Lonchura striata: one gene and its partner. The protein of the gene in region 1 purifies or fractionates together with the protein of each later gene. This does not show direct contact. Links are inferred from orthologs where the notes say so. Each region holds a gene or a part of one and is shown in the gene's direction. Other genes may lie near its edges.

Evidence for each region.
Region 2: the proteins of EIF5 (region 1) and EIF3G purify together in Homo sapiens (affinity purification with western blotting; 3 studies listed by BioGRID and IntAct, with this or other methods). This does not show direct contact. The link is inferred for Lonchura striata from reciprocal best matches to the Homo sapiens genes EIF5 and EIF3G.

What each region holds. Positions count from the first base shown.
Region 1 is NC_134608.1:10,225,977-10,241,704, reverse strand, and holds the start of EIF5 (eukaryotic translation initiation factor 5), read left to right. Parts: upstream 1-9,055; 5' UTR 9,056-9,130; intron 9,131-9,297; 5' UTR 9,298-9,490; intron 9,491-10,745; exon of another isoform or gene 10,746-10,935; intron 10,936-11,460; 5' UTR 11,461-11,668; coding exon 11,669-11,740; intron 11,741-12,002; coding exon 12,003-12,084; intron 12,085-12,306; coding exon 12,307-12,479; intron 12,480-12,784; coding exon 12,785-12,896; intron 12,897-13,225; exon of another isoform or gene 13,226-13,349; intron 13,350-13,548; coding exon 13,549-13,688; intron 13,689-14,168; coding exon 14,169-14,327; intron 14,328-14,524; coding exon 14,525-14,686; intron 14,687-14,934; coding exon 14,935-15,099; intron 15,100-15,320; coding exon 15,321-15,455; intron 15,456-15,728.
Region 2 is NC_134623.1:1,633,300-1,648,927, forward strand, and holds the start of EIF3G (eukaryotic translation initiation factor 3 subunit G), read left to right. Parts: upstream 1-7,710; 5' UTR 7,711-7,782; coding exon 7,783-7,802; intron 7,803-9,059; coding exon 9,060-9,109; intron 9,110-10,145; coding exon 10,146-10,238; intron 10,239-11,276; coding exon 11,277-11,365; intron 11,366-12,055; coding exon 12,056-12,115; intron 12,116-12,950; coding exon 12,951-13,055; intron 13,056-13,905; coding exon 13,906-14,095; intron 14,096-15,628. UniProt on the Homo sapiens protein: RNA-binding component of the eukaryotic translation initiation factor 3 (eIF-3) complex, which is required for several steps in the initiation of protein synthesis.

The sequences.
Region 1 (15,728 bases):
ATCCAGGTGAAGTACAAGAACTTTGGTAAGATGATCTCTCTAAAACTGATAAGCAACACTCTCCTGTCTCTTTGAGAGATATTCATGGACGCAGCAGGGCTTCAACCAAAGCAAGATTTGCTTTAGCTGTGTTTAAAATAAGGTCTGAACATCCAGGTCACACTGGTCAAACTGTAATCTAAATGGGAAGAGGGAAGCAATACAAATACTAGCAGACAACACTGGTGATAAAGGGGTAGGTGATGGTTAAAGGTTTCCTCACCACCTTTGCTCCTCACTCCTTCCTAAACACAGATGAAGAACTTAAGTGTCTGTATCCTGTCTCTCACCTGGTGGCCCAGCATTCAGACACCCTCTCCATCCCCTAGACTGTGTATAAGGGAGAGGGGAACTTCAATCCAGCTGCACAAATATCTCTGTTTTGCCTGGGGATGAGATATGCACATTCAAGGTCTTTCTAAGCACAACAAACCAATGCCAAGAAACAGAGGAATGTCATCAAGGTCATATAGTTTGGTTTCTTGCACTTGTTTTGCATCTCACTCAAAATAGGCATGCTTAACTCAGGGAGACAGAGAGGCCTTTCTCAGCGAGCAATGCGGCGTGTGCTCCTGGGTCACCTGAGGCGGCTGTCTGTCTGCCGGGGGCCCTTTACCCTGTTTAGATTGTAGCTGCATCCTTTTAGTATCAAGATGTGGATACTTAATGCATGCTCACCTTTGCCCCTAGCCACACTCTGTTTCTGCTTAGCTAATGCTTTTCTTGGCAAGCTCAGCCAGGCAAGTCAGAGTTCAGCTTGCACCCGATCAGCTGAAGCAGAGATGACTGGCTCTGGGAAATGCTGTAGAGGCATGGCCAAAATGAACTGAAGTCGCCTACAAGGAGCTGCAAATTACCCTGTGTTGGTACTCAGCCAGTTTGATTCTGGCTCATGACGGGGCATCCAGCCACAGCCAAAGGACAAATCAAAATAAACAAACCAGAAATTTCTTCTAGGGACATATTATGAAGAGATTTTCAAAGCAGGATTTAAGAACAGAATACTGTCTGTCCATGCCTTAGCAGCATGGACAGCACAATGACAGGCCCTCTAAAAAGCTTTAAGTGCAGTCAATGCCAGTGAGAAGTGGACAAGATAAAAGACACAGAACACAAGTGAAGACATATACAGATTTTCACAGCTCTGGCAGAGCTCTCCCATGCAAGCAATGCATGAGCTTTCAAAAGTGGTCAGAGCAAATGGCTGAAGCTTAGCTGGTCCTGAGTACAGGCTTAAGACTCTGTGTTTTATTTAATATTTTTAGGTACTTGTTGAGAAGCAGTTATCAGTTATGAAAGAGATTACTGTGGGAAACCCATGACTAGTAACTCTCCTTTGATTCATGTGTTCTCATTAGTAGGTCTTTTGAAGAATATATTGCATAGCCTTTTGTGCAACAGCCCTGTGCAGAGTCCACAGATGTAGGCAGACAGATCTCCCCAACGCCAATAATATCACCCAAAGGTCTCTCAGGAGGTATACTGAGATAGGTTAGAATCAGTATGGGAAACACAACATTTTGCAGATCTGGAGCACGATAAGTAAACAGGCAAAAAACAGGTGAATCTGCCACAGCCCAAAGTCAGCTACAAAGCTGCCTTTAAGACCTTTGCTCGGGCAAAAGGAGTCCTGAGTCTCACTCTATAGCAGGTTTGTGCTGGCTCTCAAGCAACTTGGCCAGCAGGCTGAGACTTGGCAGCCCACCACTACTTTTCCTGATTCCCTGCTGCTCCAGGATGTGAGTGAGCTGTGAGCAATCTGGCTGCACCCATCCCAGCATATGCCTCCTGAGCACCAGAGCTAGCACAGAGCTGGACAAGGTGCAGGGGATAAGCTGTTCACCCTCCTGCCCATCCAAATGTTTTTCAGGGTGCAGAACTCAGTAGCTCAGGACTCTCTGCAAAGGAACTCAGTGGGATTCCATCATAGCTGTGAGAGAAGAAATTTCAGCCTTTATCTGTATGACTCAGCTGTTTACTGTAAGTCTCTGTGGGAGCAGCAGTGACACTGAGATTCACAATTCATTGTCTATAAAATAAAAAGAAGTTTTATCAACTGTCTACCAGTAAACATCCTTCAGAGCACATAGACCCACACAGAGATTTACCGTCAAAGCAGATAGACTAAACTATCAAAACCACTTGTACCAGTACTTCTTGTCTCAGTGCACCAGGGAAAAAAAAACAACCAAACAAGCAGGGAAAGTAAAGGCTTTCTTTAGCCACATTAGGTTCAACGAATCAAAAGAACTGGATATCTGATTACAAAATTAAACTTTTATAAGCATATGTCTTTGAAGACAGAAGTATTATAGCCATAATCAGGGGTAAGTGCACAAAGCCAGTACCAGGAATGATGCCTCAGAAGTAAAGTCTCTGAGTTAAACCAGCACATTATCCACTGGTATAAAATGCTGCATCCCCACAGACTTGAATGAGCTCACACATATTTACACATGACCTTCAAGATCCCACCTGCATCCACACACCCTTCCTAACTTGAGAGTATTCATCCATCATCTGGTCATCCATTAATCTGTCAAACATCTCTGCTGGTTTCAGCTGGGGTAGAGTTAATTTGCTTCACAAGGGCTGGTACAAGGATAGGTTTTAGATGTGCAAACAATCAGAAATTAGAGGAGCTGTGTATTTATTACACATTTCTGAATAAGTCATGCCAAATATCTAGGACAAACAATACATTAAGTCCTAAAGAACCCTTTGAAAGCTTTTTGTCTGCTGGAGGCAACAATGAAAAAGTAACATGATAGAAAGGGAACAGTAAATCATTAATGATAATGATTAAAAACTAACTATGGGTGAGATGCAGCAAGTAATACTGAAAACAGCCAGAATATTTTTTGAGTATCTCATCTTTTAGAGGTTGGAGTGGTTGTGAGGAACTTTAGGAAGACCTACTTTGTGTCCTTTATTGCAAATAAGACACAGAAGATACAAAATCCATTGAGAACTATACAACAACATGTTGCAGTTTATTCAGATGTTGCATGTCTACATCAGGCACTGAAGCCAAATTGCTACTGGACTTTAAATTACTTGTGCAAATAAGGCTTAAGAAAAAGGCATCTTAAGGACACTGGTGAAATAAGTATAAATTAGACTAAGTGCCAAATAATGCATTATACATGTGATCTCACTTACATGCACCCAATCATTTTGGAATCCTAAAATCAAGTTCTGAAAAAATTACAGTGTCAAAATGTTCACAGCTACCACATAATGTAATTCAGTTGTGGGTGCCACAGTTTTCCAAATGAGTGTGGTAGCCACAAATCATGATATCATTAGCATTTATTTTAGATCCCTTCAACTCTATGAAAAGGCCTGTTTCAGGAAAGCTTGTATCCTGAGACTATCCCAAGTAAAAAGCTCAAAAACAACCACTAAGATTGGTTAAGATTTTTTTTCTTCAGATAAACCCCTTGAGCTTCAAGGGAAAATTCACTCTACATTATGCTTTTGAGCCTGCACTGGCCCAACTCTTTGTCTTAAGACTTTTGAAAAACTGACTTTGGAAATAACTCAATGCAGTAAAATCCTTCTAAAAATGTTTTCCCTTCAGTGCCTCCTGGGTCATTCTCAAAAACAGAGGTCTACATTAGGTCAATAAAATCATGCTAGACGTTACAGTCAACACTATGTATGACCCAGATTCATATTCAAGGATATTTTTAGCCTCATTTCTTAAACAACCAAGATTTATGCAATGGTGGTGAGTGTGTTTGTGTGTGAGTATGCACCTACCTGTGTCCTCATCACCATTTACCTGTTCCTGAACCCCCTGCATATTTCCAAACACACTGGCATTCACAGGAAGAGACATTATTAGAGCTCCAAGTCAGCTTTTATTAGGTGTCCAAGAATCCCCACCGGCCAAAACCAGACTTAATTTATTACAGCAGTCCTGGAAAACATGTGTGTTATTAGCTGTTTTAATATTGCTACTAGTCTGTGTAATACCCTAAGCATGCCTAACACTTGGCATATGCAAACCATAGGACAAAGATTTTGCCTCTATTTTCCTATTTAAGTACCACTCCCCCTGCTTTGTTTTGTAGTTTGGCAAACAATTTATTTTAGTAATATAAATATTTGAGCTGCAAACCACCGAAGCATTCAAAGCCTTTGGCACTGCAAGGTAGTCATGTATTATTTGCTTCATTACAAAAGGTAATCCCTGTGTTTTTATTAAGAAGCTGGCACCAGCTGTAATCAAGCTGCTGGTTAAACATACCAAACAACCAGCAAATTCTCAGCCATTATGTACAAATTCAACATTATCCTCTAGGACCTGTAGTTCCCTGAAAAATACCTTCAACATCACAAGAGAAGAAACTCTTAGGAATTTAAAATCAGACTTAGGAGAAGAAAATATTTTCTGTGATGTGTCTGCCTGTTTCCAAATGCACAGCACCAGCCAAGCAGCACCTTCAAAGGTTTTGTTTTGGAGAACATAAAATTTTCCTTTGCCTTCAAAACTGGCTTTTCCTTTGTTTTCAGCCCAAGCATCTGGGATGCCATATCCTCTTCCTAGAGCTGCCAGCAGAAGCACAAACTTAACTCCTAAGTGGGCCTCAGTACTGCCTCCAAAGCTCAGCTCTCCCAGCAATGCCCTTGTATTTTTCTACAGCAAAGAAACTCCTCCTTGCTCAGATGGGCAGAAGAAATGAGCAAAACCTGCTGCACCCAGCAGGGCAGACCCCGAGAAACAAGATCAGCAGCCACATTTTGGCTCACAAGAGAAGGGCTGTGAGAGCACTTAAGATCTCCAGGGTGTCCCCAGTCTGGGAGGAGGTTTGGAGATAGGCTCTCAATACCAGGGGCTACCACATTTTCCCTTAGGAAAAGTAAAAATCTAAAAGGTAACTCTAAGTACTCATTACTCTTTTTTACTACTTAGAATTAAATCTGCTGGGAAATCTATAGTGATAATCACAGTACTGGTTGCCAGACCACCAGAAGCCAATGAAAAGGGATGAAGGGGGATTAATCTGTGGAGGTGATGGCAAAGCACGACAGCTGCAGAGGGCCTGAGCAATTTCTTTAGGGAAATAGAAGTGCAGATTGCTAAAATGGCACTGGAAGAGAGATTTAACTAAACACACAGGCAGATCTTCATGTCTGAAGCTTGACTATGATAAGAAGCAGAGAAATGTAAATGCAGTGGTTACTAATGGGCATTATGAGCAGACAGGCAGCTTTGACAGCATGTTCTCAGCTGGAAGCTGTACTCCCAGGGACTCTTATCTTCCACATCCACTTCTTTCAGCAACCATATAAATGTAGCAGGCAGATTTGCCAACCACAGCATGCAACTGCTGGATAATGGTAGTGGTTGCCAATAAGGCCCATAGCCAAAACTGATGCCTAGACAAACTGAGAAAACCAGGCTTCCCTGATTCCTATCACCAGCATTTCCACTTTCTGGTGAGACACACAGAGAAAAGACAGGTTTCCAAGGCAGAGACTTCACTGCTATCAAACACTGGTTTGTATTCTGAAGAGAAGCTGATTGCCTCTCCTTGCTGTGGTGACTCCCTTGTGTAGGGACATACACTGGAAGAGAAAGAGGGAGGGTACAGGAAACCTCACTAGTGAGAAGACCAGATCTAGGGCAGGGCTCAGGCTGTCAGCTGACACTGAACCCAGACCCAAAACACTAGCTGGGAGATTCTAGTATTTCTGCATGGTAATAGAAGCAACAAAAATGACTTCCATTAATAATGGCTCTGTGTGTGCAACATCACACACTTACTTTCATGTTTTTCTCTGTTTACTAATTCCTGGAAAGAAAAGCATTTCATAAAGTGAACCTCCCCAAGACGGCCAGTGAGGTGCTGGACAGAAATTACTCTGAAGCTCCTGAACAGTAAAACCAGAATTAACCTCTGCCCTTGTGAATGATCAATGTCTAGCGTCAATCCTGATGGATTTCGGACCCACCCTTCCCTAAATGTTAGCTATTCCAACTGACATGTAAATAATTAAACTTTCTCTACACACTGCCAAGATAGGAAGAAGAAAGGCTATTGCTGTTCCACATAACTATAGATAAGCTTGGCCCTCCTTCCATCTCCTGAAATTACAGCCAAAGCCAGCATGAGGAGGAATCCCTTACTCAGGTGCTAACGTTCCTGCCTGCACTGCATGAAATAAGAGCTCTGACCCAGCCTCTGGGAGAAAACACACGCAGCAGAGACAAAACATTCTTCAAGGCCAAGGTTACCAAGAGGGCACTGAATTAGGGTTATGTTTGCAGCCAGCCACACCACTGAGAGAGGACAAGCTCGCTGAATAAACCACAGAGGGACATCAGGTTATCAATCGGGGATTTAAAGGACACATTGTAACTGTTCAGTTGACAAACCTAATTCTGAAAATGTTAAATATGTTAAGAATTTCAATAGAGTTTTGATTTTGCTGCATTGTCACAGTCATTGATTCTTGGTTATTTCTAATAAAAACCAGCTAAGGCAACATGGAACAAACTTGGTTTGTTCAAGGCTGAACTCAGCAATAATAAAGCATTTCTATGACAAGGAGAAGCACCCTAAATTCAACTGTGGAAATTTTCCTATTCTTAGACGTGAAACCATTTGGAAAACCTGACTTACTAATGTAATTTAAAATGTCATATCTACAAAAGTATGTATAAAACCTGCATAGTTTCTGTCAATAAAACACAAAGTACACAAACAGTCTGTATTTTGAAGGTCACACAAGCAATGTGTACTATGAACTTTGGGATTCATGAAATTGTGACATTTTAAAGTGGGAGGAGAGAAAATATTTTTCTGTCTTGTCCATATTGTGAAATATTAAAATGAACAAACTGTAAATATTAAGATTCAGTAAAAAATATTTTGAATCTAACATTTAATATTAATTAATTTTCTGCTGAGGAAAAAAATCAACAACTAGGCACCATGAAGTCAATAATCCATAATTTTGGTCTGATTTGCATGATCCAGGAGAATGTCATGTGGCTTCACGTGGATAAGACCTGCTTTTTGCAGAAGAAACACCATCTTAAAAGTACCTCTTTAATTTTTGTCAATTTATATACTATATTTAAAAACTATCTTCCTTTGTGCTATTAATTGTAAGGGTTCAGAGTTATTCATAATATCAAATAGTACCAAATCCTGGGTCTCTTTCCCAGCAGTTCTCTAAGTGGTGTTGGCAACAGTATACTTTAACACTTGTAATTTATTAACCCCCTAGGTGTTGTAATAGGGAGCTAAAGCCACAGTCAGGAGGCATTTAGCAAGTTATATGTGCTACATAGTTTCACAGCAAAGGATTTTCTGCGGTGCTTTTCTTGCCTCACACTTTTTTATTACTTTTTTCCTCTCCTGGTAACTGCCAAGCCCTACATACTTTGGAGATGCTTCCTTATTTTGCCCTAACATACTCTCTCCCATTTCAGAAAGTGTTGCCGTGCATTTATCAAGAAGACATTTTACATATCCTGAAGAATGTTTACCTTTTTCAAATGCTGATAGTGAAGTCCAAGACAAACTTACATGATGGACCCTGCATCCCCAGAGGTGCCCAAGGCCAGGTTGGATGTGTCTGGTCTGGTGGATGGTGTTCCTGCCCATGGTGAGGGGTTAGCACTAGATGATCTTTAAGGTCCCTTCCAACCCAAACCATTCCATGATTCTTTACAGGACAGTGTCCTGGCTAGAACGACCAGCTATTCCACGTACTGAAAGGAGACATGTAGGAGGGGCAGCTAACACAATGAGGGTTTTGATAGAAAGCACCAAGATGTGCGCATTTATCTCGGGTTGCTTTTTCATTGTTGCTGTATGCTACTGGAAGTGGCAGTAGTCCTGCTTTTGTGACTTGCAAGAAAACATCATTTATCAGCCACCTTCCTGAGTGCAGTTCTTCTGCATATTCGACCAAAAATGTTCAATATGTACTTCAAGGTTCAACAGGAGTGATGTCTCCTTTGACCACATCTACGTGATATCGAAGTCAGGCAGGAAAACTACACATTAAAACCAACTTTAGGCAGGCAGAGATTTAGAGCATTATTTAATGTCACTACTAGTTTTATTGTCATTCCCTCTCTTTTCCTCTACTCCCACAGAGCCATCAAGAAGCTGGCTGCCCACTCAGTTCATAAAGTCAGGGAAAAATTCTTTGCCACCTGAACATTATTGACACTGTAAAATCCCCAAAACATATAACTCCTGTGATACTGGAGGAGCGTAGATGGAAGATGGGAAAGAACGAGAAATGGAAAAAAGGATGCAAGTTTTCTGCTTTTTATGTGAAAATAAATCAAGATATGCATTTCATTCAGGATCTCAATTCAGCTACATAGGGCTGGCAACATTTTCCACTAAGAATAGAGTACATGCTTACGGCACTTGTGTCATTCTTTGTAAGGCACCCAGAGCCACCCAACGCTGAGCCTTTATGACACGGGAATTAAACAACAGGCTCTTCCCCAACCCCACAAGCCGGCTGTGCAGGAAAAACACAACTTATTCAGCAACTTAATTGCTTTGAATTCTTTGTATTATTACTTGTAACATAGTTGCTGAGATGTCAAGCGCTGGGTCACTGCCCTCCAGGGAGTAGCTCGCCCCCCACCCACGGGCAGAGTTTGGGCACACCTGGCAGGACGGAGGGGCCGGGGGAAGCTGGGAGCGCCCTCAGCCCCGGGGAGCGCCCTCAGCCCCGGGGAGCGCCCTCAGCCCCCTCAGCCCCTCAGCCCCGGGGAGCGCCCTCAGCCCCCTCAGCCCCCTCAGCCCCGGCCCCGCCGCACCGGCCCGGCCTCGGCCCCCCCCGCCCCGCGCTCTCTCGCGAGACTCGGTCGCTGTAGACGCGATGTCCTTTGGGGCACTGGCGAGGGGGAGGACACGGGGGAGGGAGGCAAAGCCTTGATTGATAGCGGCGTTCACCAATAGGCGAGGGGAGCGGCGAGGTTTTAGCCAATAGCTTCACAGCGAGGGGAGCGGTGAGCCAATGGCGACGGTGGGGGGCGGGGCGCAGCGCTGGCTGATTGATCCCAGCTCTGGCGTTGTTCAGTCGGAGCGAGAACATTCTAGAGGTGAGTACGGGGCAGCCATTGCCGGGTCCCGTTCGCCGGCCCCTGCTGCCTCAGCTGCGCGCCTCTCGCCGCCTCTCCCTCCCCCCTTCCCTCTTCTCCCCCCTCCTCTTCCCTCTCCCTCGCAGGTGCCGCCGCTAACGATGCTCCTGATTGTATCTTGCCCGCAGATTGCCCGGCGCCGCTCTCCCTGGTGATACCGCCCGCCCCAGGACGCCGGGACCCGGAGGCTGCGGCGTCCGCCTCCGCCTCCCTCTCCGTCTGGATATAAGCGCCCCCTCGGCCCTGTTCTCCTCTCACAATCGGCTTCGTCGCAGCCCGGGGCGAGCAGCGTTGGGTTTATGTCTTTATTGGACGAAAACGGTGAGTGCTAATAGTGGGCTAGTGCGGGTGAGGGCAGCGGGGTAAGGGGAGCGGGGGCCGGCGGGTGGTTGGGGCCGGGCTGGGGCCTCAGGCTGCCGGTGAACGGTGGAGATTCGCAGAGGTTTTGTGTAACGAAGCGTCCGGGACTTTGACGGGAGGGGGAGGAGAAGCAACGCGGGGCGGGGGAGCAAACAACATAAAACCGCACAACAAAACTCAACTCTGAAAGCAGTAAACCTTCATCTGTGGGGTTATTGTTTGCTGTTGGGGCGGGGGCGAGGGCGAGGATTTTTTTTTTTTTTTTTAATTTATATTCGTTTCGCCGCCGCCATGCGACGAGACAAGATGGCGGCGGCGGGGCCGCGCCTCCCGCGCTGTGCCCGGGGGGGGCAGTGGCGCAGTTCCCACCGGGCGCGGGGGGGGGCGCTCGGCCCCGCTCCCGGGGGGCGGCGGGGGCTCCCCCGTGCCGTGCGGGGCGCATGCGCGGCCGGCGGCGGCTCCCGGCGCTGAGTCAGCGTTTAATTGCTGCATTTATGAGTCACCGGCGGCGGGGCGGGGGCGCGGCGCTGTGCGGCAGGGAGCCGGTGTGCCTTCCCGCTCTGTCCTCCGTGCGCGGCGAGGGGGGGTGGTGCTTGGGATGAGGTGGTGTGGGCACCAGGAGAGGGAGCTGCAGCCTGCAGCGGATCAGTGCTGCGCTCTGGAAGGGGGGGAAAACGGTACGCTCCTTCTGGGAGCTCGGCCACCGAGAGAGCTGCTTCCTCGGCATTTCTAAAGACACGTGGTCAGGTTACACCGCGGCTCTTTTTAGACATCCTGGGGAAGGAAATAGTGTGTTGTAAACGGAGTCCTAGCGGTGTGGTTTTTGCTGAGGAAGGGTAAAATTGTATCAGGGCTAATGTAGAAGACAAGGCACATAGAGATCTATGTTCTTATTGTGTAAAGAAGTTGTAAACGTGACCAGAGGACTCGGATCATGTTGCACCATAGGCACGCTCTTCCACATAAATACTAAGAAAGCTTTTTTAATGTGTCAACGCTTCTGTCATTAACGATAACAACGTGATGACGTGTCAGAATAGCCATGCTCTGTAATCAGGGTTGCCTGTGTACTCAACCAATTGTGGCTTAAGTACCATTAGATCTGATTATAGAAGCACGTGTTAATTTAAATATGTAAATACTGCTCAAGGCAACGTTAATAATAGGATTCATCCTCCTTCCCCTTCCTCCCCCCCTCCCTTTCCCCCAAGAAAAAATCAACTGGAAAAGCTGCTGCACTGCTCTGTACCTCTGCATTGCTAGGCTTTCTACAGTGAAGCAACTTCTGTCAGATTTTATCAGGCTTATTGTTAAGTCAGAACTCAACAGAAGCTGCTATGAGAATCCATAAGTGAGAGAGAGAATTACGTAATTTTCAACTCTTTTCCACTCCGATTCAAAAACTGGTAAGCCATGTAGAAACTGTTGGGCTACAGATTGCTGCTGCTTCATCTTACTTATATTTTGCAACATTTTGGCAGACTTCAGTTTGTGATAGGTTCATGATGTGGAATTTGAAATGGATTTCCAAATATTTCTCCTGATTTCCTGTGCCCTTCAGCCTGAAACTGTACCACGTGACCCTTATGGCGCAAGTCACTGGTCTGCATAATCGAGGCGTGTGCCCTTCCTTAGTCATCCCAGAACTCCTGCTGGAATTAATTGTATAAAAAAGTAGTTGTAAGCTGTTCAGTGGTTTTAGGGCAGTAAGAGAGGGTGGAAAGCTTGGTGGTGCAGTTAAAGAAAAGTTCCTTAGCAGTACAAGCCAAGGATGGATTTCAGTTCCATAGGTTGAAGAAAGCCATAGCATAAGAAATGTACTTTTCCCTTTATTCACCTTAAATATCATGCATTATATAGCTTTGTGGCAAGAGTGGATTGATGTACATGAATCTAAACTTAATTTTTTTGTGTGTTGTTAACACTTGCAGAGCTGTTGCGCAGCCACTGGTACCTGTATTGGGGAAACATAGCATACAAGCAAGAACCTTACAGCCTCAGTGGCGAAAATTTTTTCATGTCAGAGACCGAGAACTCTTGCAGTCGTTTATGTCATCCCGTCTTCTCCAGACAGAAGATACCAAAAAACTGCAATCAAAGATCTCTTCATCTTATTGATAAAGCTACTAATAAGGCAAAATGTCTGTCAACGTCAACCGCAGTGTTTCAGATCAGTTCTATCGCTACAAAATGCCCCGTCTGATTGCCAAGGTAACTTCCTAAGCAGCAGCTGGAAGCAAAGCAGGGAGTGTTCTCCCATAACTGGTTTTCCCAGGGTGGGAAAGAGAGGCCAGGATAATGCTTGGTCACTCAGAGCAGGGAGGATGTGCCCTCCTCCGGTCCACACTAAGTGCATGTTAGTCTTGGAAGGAGTTGCACTTCAAAGCGGAATTTTGGTGTAGTTAAATGGAAATGCACACTGGGTTTGGCTGTTGCAAACATTTGACCTTAAAATATTATTTTTTTTCTGTAGGTGGAGGGCAAAGGAAATGGAATAAAGACGGTTATAGTCAACATGGTTGACGTTGCAAAGGCGCTTAATCGGCCTCCAACGTGTAAGTATTGTGGAATGACACAGCATTTTGTAATGCTTTTCTGTTTGAAGTGGTAGTGTGAATTGGCTAGTAAAGCATTAATACTGTTCCTTAAAGATTTGTAGGAAAAAAACATGATTATCTCAGGATTAAAGAATGGACAGAAACAGTAGCCTCTACTTGCTCTTTAAGAATCAGAACAAAGATATGAATGTGGTAATGGCTGTAATTCTTCCTTTACAGATCCTACCAAATTTTTTGGTTGTGAGCTGGGAGCACAGACCCAGTTTGATGTTAAGAATGACCGTTACATTGTCAATGGATCTCATGAGGCGAATAAGCTGCAAGACATGTTGGATGGATTCATTAAAAAATTTGTTCTCTGTCCTGAGTGTGAGAATCCTGAAACTGATCTGGTGAGTGCTCTGTCTGCATTAACAATGACACCATGGAAACACTGTGTTAGGTGTTTATGAAAGCGGTGCAAAGTTAAGAGACTTCAGTATCTATGAACAGAAATTAAAGTACACATTTTTGCACCTTTTGGGAAGGTTTTGCATCTCTAACAGTTCATAACTTCTGGGATAAATTATTACTTCTAAACTTTGTCTTTAGAGGGTGATACTAAAGTATTTGAACCTCTGGCTTAAAATGTAGACATCAGGCTTTAATGCAGTTGTTCTGTAAGTAGTAAATTAACTGGAGGTTGTTCTCTTTACAGCATGTCAATCCTAAGAAACAAACTATAGGTAACTCTTGCAAAGCCTGTGGCTATCGAGGCATGCTTGACACAAACCATAAACTCTGCACGTTCATTCTCAAAAACCCACCTGGTAAGTGCCTTTCCTTACCTCTGGGGATAAAGAGAACTGTATTAGTGGTGTTATGGAAGTAGAAAAATAAATAGCTCACATTTAATTGAAATGTAAAAAGGCACCAGCATACTCCTAGAGTGTTTTTGGGGATCAAGATTGAAGGAGCCATACTGGTAATGTTTTTTTTCCTTACAATGTGTTCTTCTCAAGTGTAGCAATTGGTTAAAAGCTGGATTTGCCTGTGCAGGACAAAACTTACAAGAAAGGAAGGTAGTTAGCTTTAGGTCAGCATGAAATGTGAGAGCAGGAAGTAAAAAACTGTAGTAAATGCAAACTGTAATCTGTGCAAGCAACACTCTGTAGTAAGCATCTAGTTGCCTGCTGCAATTTAAGCTTGCTAGAATAGAAAAGTCTAACCTATTCCAGGGGTCTCTGCTTTGTGAGGTTACCTGTTATATAGACTTGGACAGTCTTGGTGACAAGCAAGACTGGCTGCAGCTGGGGGTTTCCCCACCAAATGTACATCTTCCCTGAGTGTGTTTGGGGATGGGTACTACCCATAACTTGCAGCTAATGACAGCATCCAAACCCACTTGGGGATTTGGCAAAGGTGCAGGGACTTTCTAGTTTGCTCTAGTTCATAGAACAAAACATTAAAATTCACTTGCAGAAAGTGGTGACACTGGTACAGGAAAGAAAGAAAAGGAGAAGAAGAACAGAAAAGGCAAGGACAAAGAGAATGGTTCTGTGTCCAGCAATGAGACACTTCCACCCCCACCACCAGAGGAGATTACTCCTCCACAGGTTGTGGTAAGTAGAAGGGAAAGTGGGGAGATGAGGGTGTGTGTTATGTTGCTCAGATTTAAATCTCTGAAGTCACTGGCATTCCTTGCTGGTCAACATTGCACCTAAAAGTCTTACTTTATCCAAAACTTAGTGCCGGAATAGAAGGGTCCCTGATTTTACTCTATAGCATCTTTATCAGCTCATCAGTACCAGAATTTATGCTCCTTACTAAGTCAAAGCTGCCTATCCTTTATCACTCCTTTTCAGGCACCTGTGTACTAGGTAGAATGGTTGAACTGCAGTTCAGGTAGCCCTGCATATGGCTATAGAATTAGGTTTAGCTACCATTACTTCCTATATTTGCACTTTCACCGTGATCGTTGACTTGGAAATTTTATTCCAAACATTTCTTAAGGCTGTCAAGTCTGTATTATTTCTATCCTCATGTCATACTAAGCTTGCAGTAATATTTTGTGGCACTCTTGTTTTGGTTTTGTATTGTAGGAGGAGGAGGATGATGATGACTGGGGTGAGGACACAACAGAAGAAGCCCAGAGGCGTAGAATGGATGAAATCAGTGACCATGCGAAAAACCTCACACTTAGTGAAGACCTGGAAAGAACTATAGAGGAGAGAGTCAACTTACTGTTTGATTTTGTAAAGGTAACTACTCTCTGGTTGTTGGCTTGATGTAATCGCTCGGCTGTAATTGTACAACATGTTTGTGAGGAAACCAAAAGCAACTTGCTCGAGCTCCTGCAGAGTGCTGTCTCTACCAGCAGTGGGAAGGGATGACTGCGAAGAGCATGAATGCAGACCTCAAGTGGCATTAAAATGTTTCTATACCTGTTTCCCTCTAGAAAAAGAAGGAAGAAGGTGTCATTGATACTTCTGACAAAGACATTGTAGCAGAAGCAGAGAGACTGGATGTAAAGGCTATGGGCCCACTTGTTCTCACTGAAGTCCTTTTTGATGAAAAGATTCGTGAACAAATCAGAAAATACAGACGTCACTTCCTTCGTGTAAGCCATCTCTTCTGCACTCACTGTGACAACTGTTGGCAGGTTTTTGTAGCAGTTGCTTGGTACTATGGGGAAGGACTTTTTGTAGTGTTTTATTTTTAAACTTCTTGGCTAGGGGGAGCTGCTGGGAAGGGATAATATGAATTACTGTAAACTTTGCAATCTCATAGAACTGCTTCTGCTCTGTTCAGTGTGGAGAGAGGGTAAAAAAGCTCATTCAATCACTTCTGCTTCTATCACAATTCTAGTTCTGCCACAACAACAAGAAAGCTCAGAGGTACCTTCTCCATGGCTTTGAGTGTGTGGTAGCTATGCATCAGTCTCAGCTTATTTCAAAAATACCACATATTTTGAAGGAAATGTATGACGCAGATCTTCTGGAAGAAGAAGTCATCCTTGGCTGGGCAGAAAAGGTAAAGGACAGTTTGTAATGTACTGTAGCAATTAAATACCTGAAGGTAGCTTAGTGCATCTGGCTTCTCCATTCCTGGTGTAACTTGTGGACCAAGAGGCCTCCTTCACAAAAATGGGCTGTGGAAGGCAGTGGGTGAGATCAGAGTTCCAGTTCAGGCAGTATTTGGGTACAATCTGGTGTAAGCTCCTTCACTGTTCACTCAAAGTATCTGTCTTTCAGGCCTCAAAGAAATACGTTTCAAAGGACCTTGCCAAAGAAATCCGTGTCAAAGCAGAACCATTTATTAAATGGCTAAAGGAAGCTGAAGAAGAATCTTCCGGTAATGAAGAAGAGGATGAAGATGAAAACATAGAGGTAGGAAAGGCTTGCTTACTGTCAGCAGCTCCAAGGCTGCTCTGTTCCTGCATGCTGAAGTCTTGTAACCTTGTCCTGGTGCACTCTGAAATTGATTACTTGGGGTATTAGTGTGCATGTTGGGAACAGGAGGAACACTCAGTTTACAGTGCCTTTTAAGTGCTGCTAATTGGTGTCAACGATATCTACATGATATCAGTGTAATGCAGTTGCACCTGGGTAGTCCAAGACCGTGCCATTCTACAGTGGCAGTAGCAGTTCACGTAGTGCAAG
Region 2 (15,628 bases), on another chromosome or scaffold:
CCCCCCGCGCCTGCCAGCTCAGCGTCGTGGTGGACGACAAGAAGTTCGTCAGCAACATCACCCGGTGAGAGCCCGGAATGCCGGGCGGGAATCCCGGTTCGGCATCGGGGATGCCGGGAATCCGGCACTCGGCGATTCCGGTTTGGCAGCTCGGCACTCGGGGATTTTGGTTTGGGAATTTGGCACTCAGGGATTTTGGTTTGGGAATTTGGCACTCAGGGATTCTGGTTTGGGAATTTCGCACTCGGGGATTCTGGTTTGGGAATTCGGCACTTGGGGATTCTGCTTTGGGAATTCGGCACTTGGAAATTCTGTTTTGGGAATTCGGCACTTGGAAATTCTGGTTTGGGAGTTTGGAGACTTGGAGATTCTGGTTTGGGAATTCGGCACTCAGGGATTCCAGTCTGGGAATTCGGCACTCAGGGATTCCGGTTTGGGAATTCGGCACTCGGGGATTCCGGTTTGGGAATTCGGCACTTGGAAATTCTGGTTTGGGAGTTTGGAGACTTGGAGATTCTGGTTTGGGAATTCGGCACTCGGGGATTCCAGTTTGGGAATTCGGCACTCGGGGATTCCAGTCTGGGAATTTGGCACTCAGGAATTCTGGTTTGGGAATTTGGCACTCGGGGATTCCGGTTTGGGAATTCGGCACTCAGGGATTCCGCTTTGGGAATTCAGCACTTGGGGATTCTGGTTTGGGAATTCCGAGTTCGGAATTTGAGTTGTGAGTTTCAAGATAGGAATTCCGCATTGGGAATTCCAAGTTGGAAATTCTGAGTCGGGAGTTCCGAGTTGGGAATTCTCAGTTGGGAATTGGGAGTTGGGAATTCTGAATTGGGAGTTCCAAGTTGGGAATTCCAAGTTGGGAGTTCAGCGTTGGGAGTTCTGTGTTGGGAATTCCGTGTTAGGAGTTGCAAGTTGGGAATTCCGAGTCGGGAGTTCCACGTTGGGAATTCCGCATTGGGAATTGTGAGTTGGGAATTCTGAGTCGGGAATTCCAAATTGGGAATTGCGAGTTGGGAATTCCGCATTGGGAATTGCGAGTTGGGAATTGTGAGTTGGGAATTCTGAGTCAGGAGTTCCACGTTGGGAATTCCAAATTGGGAATTGCGAGTTGGGAATTCTGCATTGGGAATTGCGAGTTGGGAATTCTGAGTCGGGAGTTCCACGTTGGGAATTCCGAGTCGGGAATTCCAAATTGGGAATTGTGAGTTGGGAATTCCGCATTGGGAATTGTGAGTTGGGAATTCTGAGTCGGGAGTTCCACGTTGGGAATTCTGAGTCGGGAATTCCAAATTGGGAATTGCGAGTTGGGAATTCCGTGTTGGGAATTCCGCATTGGGAATTGTGAGTTGGGAATTCTGAGTCAGGAGTTCCACGTTGGGAATTCTGAGTCGGGAATTCCAAATTGGGAATTGCGAGTTGGGAATTCCGCATTGGGAATTCCAATTTGGGAATTGTGAGTTGGGAATTCCGCATTGGGAATTGCAAATTGGGAATTGCAAGTCGGGAATTCTGAGATGGGAATTGCGAGTTGGGAATTGCGAGTCAGGAATTCTGAGATGGGAATTGCGAGTTGGGAATGCCGCGTTGGGAATTCCGCGTTGGGAATGGCGAGTTGGGAATCCCGTGCCCGCAGGACGTACTCGGGCCCGTTCCGCACCATCACGGTGCGGGACACGATGTCGGACCTGCCGGAGATCCGGAACGGCGCCTCGGCGCTGGAGATCTCCTACAACGGCGAGCCCCAGTCGTGGTTCCAGCGCCAGATCCGCGGCTCCCAGTACCAGCCCATCCTCAGGGATCACATCTGCAAGGTGGGAACGGCACCCGGAGCCGCCGGATCCCGCCGGAGCCGCCCAAATCCGGGATGGGGGAGCTGCTGGGAACTGCCGGGAATGGTGGGGCTTTGGGAATGGCGGATTTGGGAATGGGCGAGGTGCTGGGAATGGTGGATTTGGGAATGGGCGAGGTGCTGGGAATGGTGGAGGTTTGGGAATGGCGGATTTGGGAATGGGCGAGGTGCCGGGAATGGTGGGGCTTTGGGAATGGTGGATTTGGGAATGGGGGAGGTGCTGGGAATGGTGGATTTGGGAATGGCGGATTTGGGAATGGGGGAGGTACCGGGAATGGTGGATTTGGGAATGGCGGATTTGGGAATGGTGGAAGTGCTGGGAATGGTGGAGATTTTGGGAATGGTGGAGGTGTTGGGAATGGTGGAAGTGTTGGGAATGGTGGATTTGGGAATGGTGGGGATTTTGGGAATGGTGAATTTGGGAATGGTGGAGGTGCTGGGAATGGTGAATTTGGGGATGGTGGAGGCATTGGGAACGGTGGTTTTGGTAGTGGTGGGGATTTTGGGAATGCTGGATTTGGGAATGGTGGGGACTTTGGGAACGGTGGTTTTGGTGGTGGGGATTTTGGGAGTGCTGGATTTGGGACCGGTGGGGATTTTGGGAACGGTGGTTTTGGTGGTGGGGATTTTGGGAATGGTGGTTTTGGGACCGGTGGGGATTTTGGGAATGCTGGATTTGGGAGCGGTGGGGATTTTGGGAGTGCTGGATTTGGGAGCGGTGGGGATTTTGGGAATGCTGGATTTGGGAACGGTGGGGATTTTGGGAACGGTGGTTTTGGTGGTGGGGATTTTGGGAATGGTGGTTTTGGGAACGGTGGGGATTTTGGGAACGGTGGTTTTGGTAGTGGTGGGGATTTTGGGAACGGTGGTTTTGGTGGTGGGGATTTTGGGAATGCTGGCTTTGGGACCGGTGGGGATTTTGGGAATGCTGGATTTGGGAACGGTGGGGATTTTGGGAACGATGGTTTTGGTGGTGGGAATTTTGGGAATGCTGGAATTGGGACCGGTGGGGATTTTGGGAATGGTGGTTTTGGTGGTGGGGATTTTGGGAATGGTGGTTTTGGGAATGGTGGGGATTTTGGGAATGCTGGCTTTGGGAGCGCTGGACGTCGCGGGCCCCGGCGGCGGTGCCCAACGCGGCCCGTTGTCGCCGGCGGCGGCAGGACATGAGCGCGCTGGTGGCGGCGCGGATGCGGCACATCCCGCTGGCGCCCGGCTCCGACTGGCGGGACCTGCCCAACATCGAGGTGCGGCTCTCGGACGGCACCACCACCCGCAAGCTGCGCTACACCCACCACGAGCGCAAGAACGGCCGCAGCAGCGCCGGCGCCCTGCGCGGCGTCTGCTCCTGCGCCGAAGGTGGGTGGTGGACCTCCGGAAACACGTCCCCGGCCCGGCGGGCGCGGCCGTTCTCCCGGAAATTCCCGGGGTTTGGTTTTTGGTGGTGTTTTGGTGTTTCCCAGGGAAGCCGTGCGACCCGGCCGACCGGCAGTTCAACACCCTCATCCCGTGGTGCCTCCCGCACACCGGCAACCGGCACAACCACTGGGCCGGCCTCTACGGGCGCCTGGAGTGGGACGGCTTCTTCAGCACCACCGTCACCAACCCCGAGCCCATGGGCAAGCAGGTGGGGGCGGGGGGCCGCGGGCACGGCCGGCGGGGGGTGTTGGTGGGGGTCACCGGTGGCCACCGCGCCCCAGCCTTCGATGGTGGCCAACGGTCGTCGGTGTCCCAACGGTTGGGCGGGTTGCTTGGTGGCGACCGATGGCCACCGTGGCCCCGTGGTTGGGTTTGATGGTCTCCAATGGCCACCACGTTGGGTGTGGTGGTCAGTGGTGGCCACCATGTTGGGTGTGATGGTCTCCAGTGGCCACCACGTTGGGTGCGGTGGTCTCTGGTGGTCACCACATTGGGTGTGGTGGTCTCCAGTGGCCACCATGTTGGGTGTGGTGATCTCCAGCATCCACCATGTTGGGTGTGATGTTCTCCAATGTCCACCATGTTGGTGTGGTGGTCTCTGGTGGCCACCACGTTGGGTGTGGTGGTTTTTAGTGGCCACCATGTTGATGTGGTGGTCAGTGGTGGCCAGCATGTTGTGTTGGTGGTCAGTGGTGGCCAGCACATTGGGTTTGGCGCACCGTGGTGGCCAGCACGTTGGGTTGGCGCTCAGTGATGGTGGCCACCACGTTGGGTTAGTGATGCATGGTGCCCACCATGTTGGTGGGTTGGCGCTCCGTGGTGGCCAGCATGTTGGTGTGGTGGCCACCACATTGGGTGTGATGGTCTCCAGTGGCCACCACGTTGGGTTTGGTGGTCCATGGTGGCCACCACGTTGGGTTTGGCGGTCAGTGGTGGCCACCACGTTTGGTTTGGTGGTCAGTGGTGGCCAGAACGTTGGTGTGGTGCCCACCCCGTTGGGTTTGGCGGTCAGTGGTGGCCAGAACGTTGGTGTGGTGCCCACCCCGTTGGGTTTGGTGGTCCGTGGTGCCCACCCCGTTGGGTTTGGCGGTCAGTGGTGGCCAGAACGTTGGTGTGGTGGCCACCCCGTTGGGTTTGGTGGTCTGTGGTGCCCACCCCGTTGGGTTTGGCGGTCAGTGGTGGCCAGAACGTTGGTGTGGTGGCCACCACGTTGGGTTTGGTGGTCCATGGTGGCCACCCCGTCGGGTTGGTGCCGTTGCAGGGCCGCGTGCTGCACCCCGAGCAGCACCGCGTGGTCAGCGTGCGCGAGTGCGCTCGCTCCCAGGGCTTCCCCGACACCTTCCGGCTCTTCGGGAACATCCTGGACAAGCACAGACAGGTGGGTGGCACCGGCACCGCGGTGGCACCGACACGGTGTCCCCTTGTCCCCTTTGTCCCTTTGGGCACCGACTTCTTGTCCCTTTGTCACTTTGTCCCATTCTCCATTGTCCTCTTGTCCCTTTGTCCTATTGTCCTTTTGTCCCATTGTCCATTGTCCCTTTGTCCATTGTCCCTTTGTCCATTGTCCAATTGTCCATTGTCCCATTGTCCATTGTCCCATTGTCCCATTGTCCCATTGTCCCATTGTCCCATTGTCCATTGTCCCTTTGTCCATTGTCCAATTGTCCATTGTCCCATTGTCCCATTGTCCCTTTGTCACTTTGTCCCTTCTTCCATTGTCCCATTGTCCATTGTCCGTTTGTCCCTTTGTCCCAATGTCCTCTTTTCACTTTGTCCCAATGTCCCCCTGTCCCCCTGTCCCCATGTCCCATGTCCCTCTGTCCTTCTGTCTGTCCCTCTGTCTGTCCCTTTGTCTGTCCCCTGTCCCCTGTCCCATGTCTCTCTGTCTGTCCCTCATCCCCATGTCCCTCTGTCTGTCCCCTGTCCCCATGTCCCTCTGTCTGTCCCCATGTCCCTCTGTCTGTCCCTCTGTCTGTCCCCTGTCCCTCTGTCTGTCCCTCTGTCTGTCCCTCTGTCTGTCCCTCTGTCTGTCCCATGTCCCTCTGTCTGTCCCTCTGTCTGTCCCTCATCCCCATGGCCCTCTGTCTGTCCCCTGTCCCCATGTCCCTCTGTCTGTCCCCATGTCCCTCTGTCTGTCCCTCTGTCTGTCCCATGTCCCTCTGTCTGTCCCCTGTCCCTCTGTCTGTCCCTCTGTCTGTCCCCTGTCCCTCTGTCTGTCCCCATGTCCCTCTGTCTGTCCCTCTGTCTGTCCCCTGTCCCCATGTCCCTCTGTCTGTCCCCATGTCCCTCTGTCTGTCCCTCTGTCTGTCCCCTGTCCCCATGTCCCTCTGTCTGTCCGTCTGTCCCCAGGTGGGCAATGCGGTGCCGCCTCCCCTGGCCAAGGCCATCGGGCTGGAGATCAAGGCCTGCGCTGTGGCCAAAGCGCGCCAGGACACGGCCGGTGAGTGACCCTGAGTGACCAGAGTGACCCTGAGTGACCAATGAGTGACCCTGAGTGACCAATGAGTGACCACTGAGTGACCACTGAGTGACTGCTGAGTGACCAGAGTGACCACTGAGTGACCCTGAGTGACCCTGAGTGACCAATGAGTGACCACTGAGTGACCACTGAGTGACTGCTGAGTGACCAGAGTGACCACTGAGTGACCCTGAGTGACCCTGAGTGACCACTGAGTGACCAGAGTGACCACTGAGTGACCCTGAGTGACCAGAGTGACCAATGAGTGACCAGAGTGACAAGAGTGACCACTGAGTGACTGCTGAGTGACCAGAGTGACCACTGAGTGACCCTGAGTGACCCTGAGTGACCCTGAGTGACCAGAGTGACCAATGAGTGACCCTGAGTGACCCTGAGTGACCCTGAGTGACCCTGAGTGACCAGAGTGACCACTGAGTGACCCTGAGTGACCCTGAGTGACCCTGAGTGACCAGAGTGACCACTGAGTGACCCTGAGTGACCCTGAGTGACCCTGAGTGACCAGAGTGACCAATGAGTGACCGCTGAGTGACTCTGAGTGACCAGAGTGACCAATGAGTGACCAGAGTGACCATGAGTGACCCTGAGTGACCAGAGTGACCAATGAGTGACCCTGAGTGACCCCGGGTGACCACTGAGTGACAGCTCAGTGACCATCCCATTGTGTCCCCATGGTGTCCCTACTGTCCCCTGGGTGTCCCTGTGTCCCCTCACCATCCCTGTCCCCTGGGTGTCCCCGGGTGTCCCCTGGGTGTCCCTGTGTCCCCTGGGTGTCCCCTCTGTCCCCTCACTGTCCCTGTCCCCTGGGTGTCCCCTGGGTGTCCCCTCACCATCCCCGTGTCCCCTCACTGTCCCCGTGTCCCCTCACTGTCCCAGTGTCCCCTCACTGTCCCTGTCCCCTGGGTGTCCCTGTGTCCCCTGGGTGTCCCCATGTCCCCTCACCATCCCTGTCCCCTGGGTGTCCCCTGGGTGTCCCCTGGGTGTCCCCTCACCATCCCCGTGTCCCCTCACTGTCCCAGTGTCCCCTCACTGTCCCTGTCCCCTGGGTGTCCCTGTGTCCCCTGGGTGTCCCTGTGTCCCCTGGGTGTCCCCATGTCCCCTCAGTGTCCCCATGTCCCCTCAGTGTCCCCGTGTCCCGCAGGTCTCGCCGCGGTCCTGGTGCCTCCGGAGCCGTCGGGAGCGGCCGCCTGAGCCCGGCCGGAGCCGGGGGGGCCGGGGGGGCCTCGGCTCCGGGGCTGCTTCGCCTTCGCCTCTGCTTTCAGTTGCCTTTTGGTCTTTTTTCCCTTTTTTCCCCTTTTTTGATTTATTTCCCCTTTTTTCTTTTTTTTTTTTCCTCCTTTTCTCTCATTTTTTTTCCCTATTTTTTCTTGTTTGTTCTCTTTCTTCCCTCCCTTGTTTTTCCCCCTTCTTTCTATCCCTTTTTTTCTTTCCCCTTTTTCCTCTTTATTTTCCTTTTTTCTCCTCTTTTTAAAGATTTTTTTAACCCCTTATTTTCCTCTTCATTTTTTCTTCCTTTTCCCTTTTTTTAATTCCTAGATTTTTTTTTCTGGCTTTTCATCTCCTCCTTTCTAAAACGCTTTTAATTTCCCCAATCCGCCTTTCGTTTCTCTTTGTTTCTTTTTATTTTAATTCCTCTCCCTCCACTCTCTCTGTGCTGCTCCAACCTCCCCTTCCCCCCCTCAGGGCCCGGCCCCGCTGCCCCGTTTTTATCGCATTGTACCGAACCCCCCCGCGGCCGCTTTGTACAAGGTGGAACTCGATACTTTATGTAGTTTTTATATGTTGTAATATTTCTTCAAATAAATCGCGCCTATAAGTTATAACCAACTCTCGCCCCGCGCTCCGAGCAGGCCGCGGCCGCCATGGCGCCGTTGCTCGGCAACCGCTTCCCGCCCTGCCCCGCCGGAAGTGACGCGCGCGGGCCGGAAGTGGCGCTTGGCGCTTCCCGCCCTGCCCCGCCGGAAGTGGCGCGCGGGGGGCCGGAAGTGCCGCGCGGCCTTTCCGGTGTGGCGGCGTGAGGGAGGCGGAGGCGATGCCGGCCGGGGACTACGAGTGAGGGGGAGCGGGGACGGGAACGGGAACCGGGAACGGGGGCGGGGATTGAGGAGCGGGAACCGGGAACGGGGAACGGGAATGGGGACCGGGACCGGAACCGGGAGTGCGAATCGGAACCGGGAACAGGAATCGGGATTGGGATCGGGAATCGGGAACCGTAACCGGGATCGGGATCTGGGATCGTGAACCGGGACCGGGATTGGAACCGGCAGTGGGAATCGGAACCGGGATCAGGAGTTGGGATCGGGAACCGGGCTTGGGAATGGGAACCGGGAGTGGGGACCGGGAACGGGACTGGGAATTGGGACCGGGAACGGGACTGGGAATTGGGACCGGGAACGGGAGTGGGAATTGGGAGGTGGGACCGAGAACCGGGAGTGGGAACGGGGACGGGAATGGGGACCGGGAACGGGAACCGGGAGTGACAGCTGGAAACGGGACTGGGAATTGGGATCGGGAACCGGGATCGGGAATGGGAACCGGGAGTGACGGCCGGCACCGGGAACCGGGAGCGGGAACCGGGAGCGGGAACCGGGAGTGACGGCCGGCACCGGGAACCGGGCACGGGGCCTGCGGGGGGGTCCCGGGAGGGTCCCGGGGGGTCCTGGGGGCTTCGGGCAGGGCCGGGGCCGTGAGGGGGAGGCGACAGAGGGGACAGGGACACCCAAGGGTGGCACAGGTGGGGACAGGGGCACCCAAGGGTGGCACAGGTGGGGACAGGGGCACCCAAGGGTGGCACAGGTGACAGCCAGGGTGGCACAGGAGGGGACAGGGACACCCAAGGGTGGCACCGGGGTGGCACAGGGACACGGGGGTGGCACAGGAGGGGACAGGGGCACCCAAGGGTGGCACCGGAGGGGACAGGGGCACCCAAGGGTGGCACCGGGGTGGCACAGGGACATGGGGGTGGCACAGGAGGGGACAGGGGCACCCAAGGGTGGCACAGGTGGGGACAGGGGCACCCAAGGGTGGCACCGGGGTGGCACAGGAGGGGACAGGGGCACCCAAGGGTGGCACAGGTGACAGCCAGGGTGGCACAGGAGGGGACAGGGGCACCCAAGGGTGGCACCGGGGTGGCACAGGGACACGGGGGTGGCACAGGAGGGGACAGGGGCACCCAAGGGTGGCACAGGTGGGGACAGGGGCACCCAAGGGTGGCACTGGGTTGGCACAGGGACACGGGGGTGGCACAGGAGGGGACAGGGGCACCCAAGGGTGGCACAGGTGCCAGCCGAGGCCGTTGTGTCCCCACAGCTCCAAGCCCAGCTGGGCTGACCAGGTGGAGGAGGAGGGAGGAGAGGATGGTGAGTGGCACCTGGCACACCTGTGACACCTGGCACACCTGTGGGGGTGGCACCTGGCACACCTGTGACACCTGGCACACCTGTGACACCTGGCACACCTGTGGGGGTGGCACCAGTCACACCTGTGACACTTGTCACACCTGTGGGGGGTGGCACTGGCACACCTGTGACATCTGGCACACCTGTGGGGGGTGGCACCGTCACACCTGTGACACCTGGCACACCTGTGGCACCGGTCACACCTGTGGTACCTGGCACACCTGTGACATCTGGCACACCTGTGGGGGGTGGCACCGTCACACCTGTGACACCTGGCACACCTGTGGCACCGGTCACACCTGTGGTACCTGGCACACCTGTGACACCTGGCACACCTGTGGGGGGTGGCACCGTCACACCTGTGACACCTGGCACACCTGTGGCACCGGTCACACCTGTGGTACCTGGCACACCTGTGACACCTGGCACACCTGTGGGGGGTGGCACCGGTCACACCTGTGGTACCTGGCACACCTGTGGGGCTGGCACCAGCACACCTGGCAGGGCACACCTGGCACGGATGCCACCTGGGACATCTCTGGGGGGTGGCACTCAAGGTATCTGTCACACCTGTGGCACCTGGCATGCCTGGCACACCTGTCATACCTGGCACACCTGTGGCACCTGGCACACCTGTGATACCTGTGGCACCTGGCACGTCTGTCAAACCTGGCACACCTGTCGGGGTGGCACCTGTGTCCTTGGGGACAAAGAGCTGTGCCAGGGGCTGGGGGGACTGGTCCAGGTGAGAGGGGTCACCTGTGCCCGGGTGAGCTCAGGTGAGGTTACCTGTGCCCAGGTGAGGTTACCTGTGCCCCAGGTGAGCCCAGGTGAGGTTACCTGTGCCCCAGGTGAGCTCCCTGTGCCCGGGTGAGCCCAGGTGAGGTTACCTGTGACCAGGTGAGCTCCCTGTGCCCGGGTGAGCCCAGGTGAGGTTACCTGTGCCCAGGTGAGGTCACCGTGCCCGGTGCCCACCTGAGCCCCCTTACCTGTCCAGACAAGGTGATCACCAGCGAGCTGCTGAAGGATCTGCCCCTGCCCGGGGTCCTGGGGGGCGCCTCCAGCGCCGAGGCCGAGCTGCTCAAGGGAGGTGAGAGGGCACCGCTGGCACCGCTGGCACACCTGGAGGGGAGGGACACACCTGGGGACACACCTGGATGGGAGGGACACACCTGGGCACACACCTGGATGGGAGGGACACACCTGGGGACACACCTGGGCACACACCTGGGCACACCTGGATGGGAGGGACACACCTGGGCACAGCTGGATGGGAGGGACACACCTGGGCACACACCTGGGCACACACCTGGATGGGAGGGACACACCTGGGTACACACCTGGGCACACACCTGGATGGGAGGGACACACCTGGGGACACACCTGGGCACACACCTGGGCACACCTGGATGGGAGTGACACACCTGGGCACAGCTGGATGGGAGGGACACACCTGGGCACACACCTGGAGGGGAGGGACACACCTGGGCACACCTGGATGGGAGGGACACACCTGGGCACACACCTGGGCACACACCTGGATGGGAGGGACACATCTGGGCACACACCTGGAGGGGAGGGACACACCTGGGCACACACCTGGAGGGGAGGGACACACCTGGGGGCACCTGGGGATACACCTGGATGGGAGGGACACACCTGGGGGCACCTGGGGAGCCCTGGGGGCACACCTGGGCACACCTGGATGGGAGGGACACACCTGGGGGTACACCTGGATGGGAGGGACACACCTGGGGGCACCTGGGGAGCCCTGGGGGCACACCTGGGCACACCTGGATGGGACGCACACACCTGGGCACACCTGGATGGGAGGGACACACCTGGGCACACACCTGGGCACACCTGGATGGGAGGGACACACCTGGGCACACCTGGATGGGAGTGACACACCTGGGCACACACCTGGATGGGAGGGACACACCTGGGGATACACCTGGATGGGAGGAACTCACCTGGGCACACCTGGATGGGAGGGACTCACCTGGGCACACCTGGGGAGCCCTGGGGGCACACCTGGGCACACCTGGATGGGAGGGACACACCTGGGCACACCTGGGGAGCCCTGGGGGCACACCTGGGCTCACCTGGGCACACCTGTCCCCCCCAGGGCCCCTCCCGTCCCCCAAGGAGGTCGTCAACGGCAACATCAAAACCATCACCGAGTACCGCGAGGAGGAGGACGGGCGCAAGGTCAAGGTGGGCACGGGGGCACAGGTGGGCACAGGTGGGCACAGGTGGCACCTGAGCCACAAATGTGGCAGCTGAACCCAAATTTTGGCACCTCTGAGCCCCAAATTCGGCACCTGAGCCCCAAATTCGGCACCTCTGGACCCCAAATTTGGCGCCTCTGGACCCCAAATTCGGCACCTGAGCCCCAAATTTGGGTTTTTGGGGCTCAGGTCCTCCAGGAATTCCCAAATTTGGGTTTTTCGGGGTCAGGTGCTCCAAGAATTCCCAAATTTGGGTTTTTTGGGCTGAGGTCCTCCAGGAATTCCCAAATTTGGGTTTTTGGGCTCAGGTGCTCCAGGAATTCCCAAATTTGGGTTTTTTGGGCTGAGGTCCTCCAGGAATTCCCAAATTTGGGTTTTTTGGGGTCAGGTCCTCCAGGAATTCCCAAATTTGGGTTTTTTGGGCTCAGGTGCTCCAGGAATTCCCAAATTTGGGTTTTTGGGCTCAGGTGCTCCAAGAATTCCCAAATTTGGGTTTTTTGGGCTCAGGTGCTCCGGGAATTCCCAAATTTGGGTTTTTTGGGCTCAGGTGCTCCAGGAATTCCCAAATTTGGGTTTTTTGGGCTCAGGTGCTCCGGGAATTCCCGAATTTGTCCCCTGAGGGCCCCAGGTTTGGGGTTTTTGGGATTTCCCGGCCCCATTCCCGCGTTTTTCCCAGATCATCCGAACGTTCCGGATCGAGACCCGCAAAGCCTCCAAGGCCGTGGCCCGGCGCAAGGTCAGGGGAAAATGGGATTTTCCTGGAAAAATGGGATTTACCTGGGAAAAAATAGAGAAAAAATGGGATTTACCTGGGGAAAAATGGGAAAAGAATGAGATTTACCTGGGGAAAAATGGGATTTACCTGGGGAAAAGGGAAAAAATGGGATTTACCTGGGAAAAATGGGATTTACCTGGGAAAAAATAGGGAAAGAATGGGATTTACCTGGAAAATGGGATTTACCTGGGGAAAAGGGAAAAAATGGCATTTACCTGGAAAAAATGGGAAAAAAATGGCATTTACCTGGAAATGGGAAATGGGATCCACCTATGAAAAAAATGGGATTTACCTGGGGAAAAATGGGAATAAATTGGATTTACCTGGAGAAAATGGGATTTACCTGGGAAAAATGGGATTTACCTGGAAAAAAATGGGAAAAAATGGAATTTACCTGGGAAAAATTGGATTTACCTGGGATAAAATGGGATTTACCTGGGGAAAACGGGATTTACCTGGGAAAAAATGAAAAAATGGGGTTTACCTGGAAATGGGATTTACCTGGAAAAATGGGAAAAAAATGGGATTTACCTGGGAAATAAATGAGATTTACCTGGGCAATAAATGGGAAAAATTGGGATTTACCTGGAAAATGGGATTTACCTGGAAAATGGGATTTACCTGGAAAATAAATGGGATTTACCTGGAAAATGGGATTTACTTGGAAAATAAATGGGATTAACCTGGGGAAAAACGGGAATAAATTGGATTTCCCTGGGAGACGGGATCGGGACCGAGGCGTTCCCACGGGCGCATTTCGGAATTTCCCGGGATTTTGGGATTTCCCCTCTCCCAGAACTGGAAGAAATTTGGGAATTCCGAGTTCGACGCCCCCGGGCCCAACGTGGCCACGACGACCGTGAGCGACGACGTCTTCATGACCTTCATCACCAGCAAGGAGGTAGGGACAGCTGTGCCCAGGTGTGCCCAGGGGTGCCCAGGTGTGCCCAGGGGTGACCAGGGGTGACCAGGTGTACCCAGGTGTACCCAGGGGTGACCAGGTGTGCCCCCAGTATGTCCAGGTGTGCCTAGGTGTGCCCCCAGGTGTACCCAGGTGTGCCCAGGGGTGACCCAGGGGTGCCCAGGTGTCCCCAAATGTACCCAGGTGTGCCCAGGGGTGACCCAAATGTACCCGGGTGTGCCCCAGGTGTGCCCAGGGATGCCCAGGTGTGCCCCCAGGTGTGCCCCCAGGTGTGCCCCCAGGTGTGCCCAGGTGTCCCCAAATGTACCCGGGTGTGCCCCAGGTGTGCCCAGGGGTGCCCCAGATGTGCCCAGGGGTGACCCAAATGTGCCCAGGTGTGCCCCCAGGTGTGCCCAGGTGCCCTCAGGTGTGTCCCCATCCCGCAGGACCTGAACTGCCAGGAGGAGGAGGACCCCATGAACATCTCTAGGTGTGCCCCATGGCCACGTGTGCCACCAGCTCTGTCCTAGGTGCCCCCAGGTGTCCCCAGGTGTCTCAAGGTGCCCTCAGGTGTGCCCAGGTGCCCCCAGGTGTGCCCAGGTGTGCCCAGGTGTCCCCATCCCGCAGGACCTGAACTGCCAGGAGGAGGAGGACCCCATGAACATCTCTAGGTGTGCCCCATGGCCACGTGTGCCACCAGCTCTGTCCTAGGTGCCCCCAGGTGTCCCCAGGTGCCCCCAGCTGCCCCCAGGTGCCCTCAGGTGTCCCCAGGTGCCCCCAGGTGTCCCCAGGTGCCCCCAGGTGCCCTCAGGTGTGCCCAGGTGCCCTCAGGTGTGTCCCCATCCCGCAGGACCTGAACTGCCAGGAGGAGGAGGACCCCATGAACAAGCTGAAGGGCCAGAAGATCGTCTCCTGCCGCATCTGCAAGGGCGACCACTGGACCACGCGCTGCCCCTACAAGGACACGCTGGGGCCCATGCAGAAGGAGCTGGCCGAGCAGCTGGGGCTGTCCACGGGCGAGAAGGAGAAGCTGCCCGGAGGTGGGACCCCAAACCCCAAATCCCAAATTTTTTTGGGAATTTTTCCCGTTTTTGCACGGTTATGGAGCCCCAAGGTCATCCTGGTGGTCCCATTGTTGCTGTGGTGGCCCCGTGCAGAAGGCACAGCTGGGGCTGTCCACGGGCGAGAAGGAGAAGCTGCCCGGAGGTGGGACCCCAAACCCCAAATCCCACTTTTTTTGGGAATTTTTCCCGTATTTTTCCCATTTTTGCACGGTTATGGGGCTTTAAGGTCACCATGGTAGTCCCAAGGTCACCCTGGTGGTCCCATTGTTTCTGTGGTGGCCCCGTGCAGAAGGAGCAGCTGGGGCTGTCCATGGGCAAGGAGAAGGAGAAGCTGCCCGGAGGTGGGACCCCAGACCCCAAATCCCAAATTTTTTTGGGAATTTTTCCCATTTTGACGTGGTTATGGAGCTCCGAGGTCACCGTGGTGGTCCCATTGTTGTTGTGGTGGCCCCATGCAGAAGGCACAGCTGGGGCTGTCCATGGGCAAGGAGAAGCTGCCCAAAGGTGGGACCCCAAATCCCAAACCCCAAATCCCACTTTTTTTGGGAATTTTTCCCGTATTTTTCCCATTTTTGCACGGTTATGGGGCCTCAAGGTCCTCGTGGTAGCCCCAAGGTCACCCTGGTGGTCCTGGTGTTGTTGTGGTGGCCCCGTGCAGAAGGCACAGCTGGGGCTGTCCACGGGCGAGAAGGAGAAGTTGCCCAAAGGTGGGACCCCAAATCCCAAATCCCAAATTTTTTTGGGAATTTTCCCCATTTTGACATGGTTATGGAGCTCCGAGGTCACCGTGGTGGTCCCATTGTTGTTGTGGTGGCCCCGTGCAGAAGGCACAGCTGGGGCTGTCCACAGGCGAGAAGGAGAAGCTGCCCGGAGGTGGGACCCCAAACCCCAAACCCCAAATCCCAAATTTTTTTGGGAATTTTTCCCATTTTGACGTGGTTATGGAGCCCCAAGGTCATCCTGGTGGTCCCATTGTTGCTGTGGTGGCCCCGTGCAGAAGGCACAGCTGGGGCTGTCCACAGGCGAGAAGGAGAAGCTGCCCGGAGGTGGGACCCCAAACCCCAAATCCCACTTTTTTTGGGAATTTTTCCCGTATTTTTCCCATTTTTGCATGGTTATGGAGCCCCAAGGTCATCGTGGTAGCCCCAAGGTCACCCTGGTGGTGGCCCCGTGCAGAAGGAGCAGCTGGGGCTGTGCCTCACCTGTCCCACCTGTCTGTATCTCACCTGTCCATGTCCCACCTGTCCCACCTGTCCATGTCTCACCTGTCCATGTCCCACCTGTCTGTCCCTCACCTGTCCTTACCTGTCCCACCTGTGTCCCACCTGTCTCACCTGTCCATATCTCACCTGTCTCACCTGTCCATATCTCACCTGTCCCACCTGTCCATATCTCACCTCTCCGTGTCTCACCTGTCCATATCTCACCTCTCCGTGTCTCACCTGTCCATGTCTCACCTGTCCCACCTGTCCCACCTGTCCATATCTCACCTGTCCCACCTGTCCATAT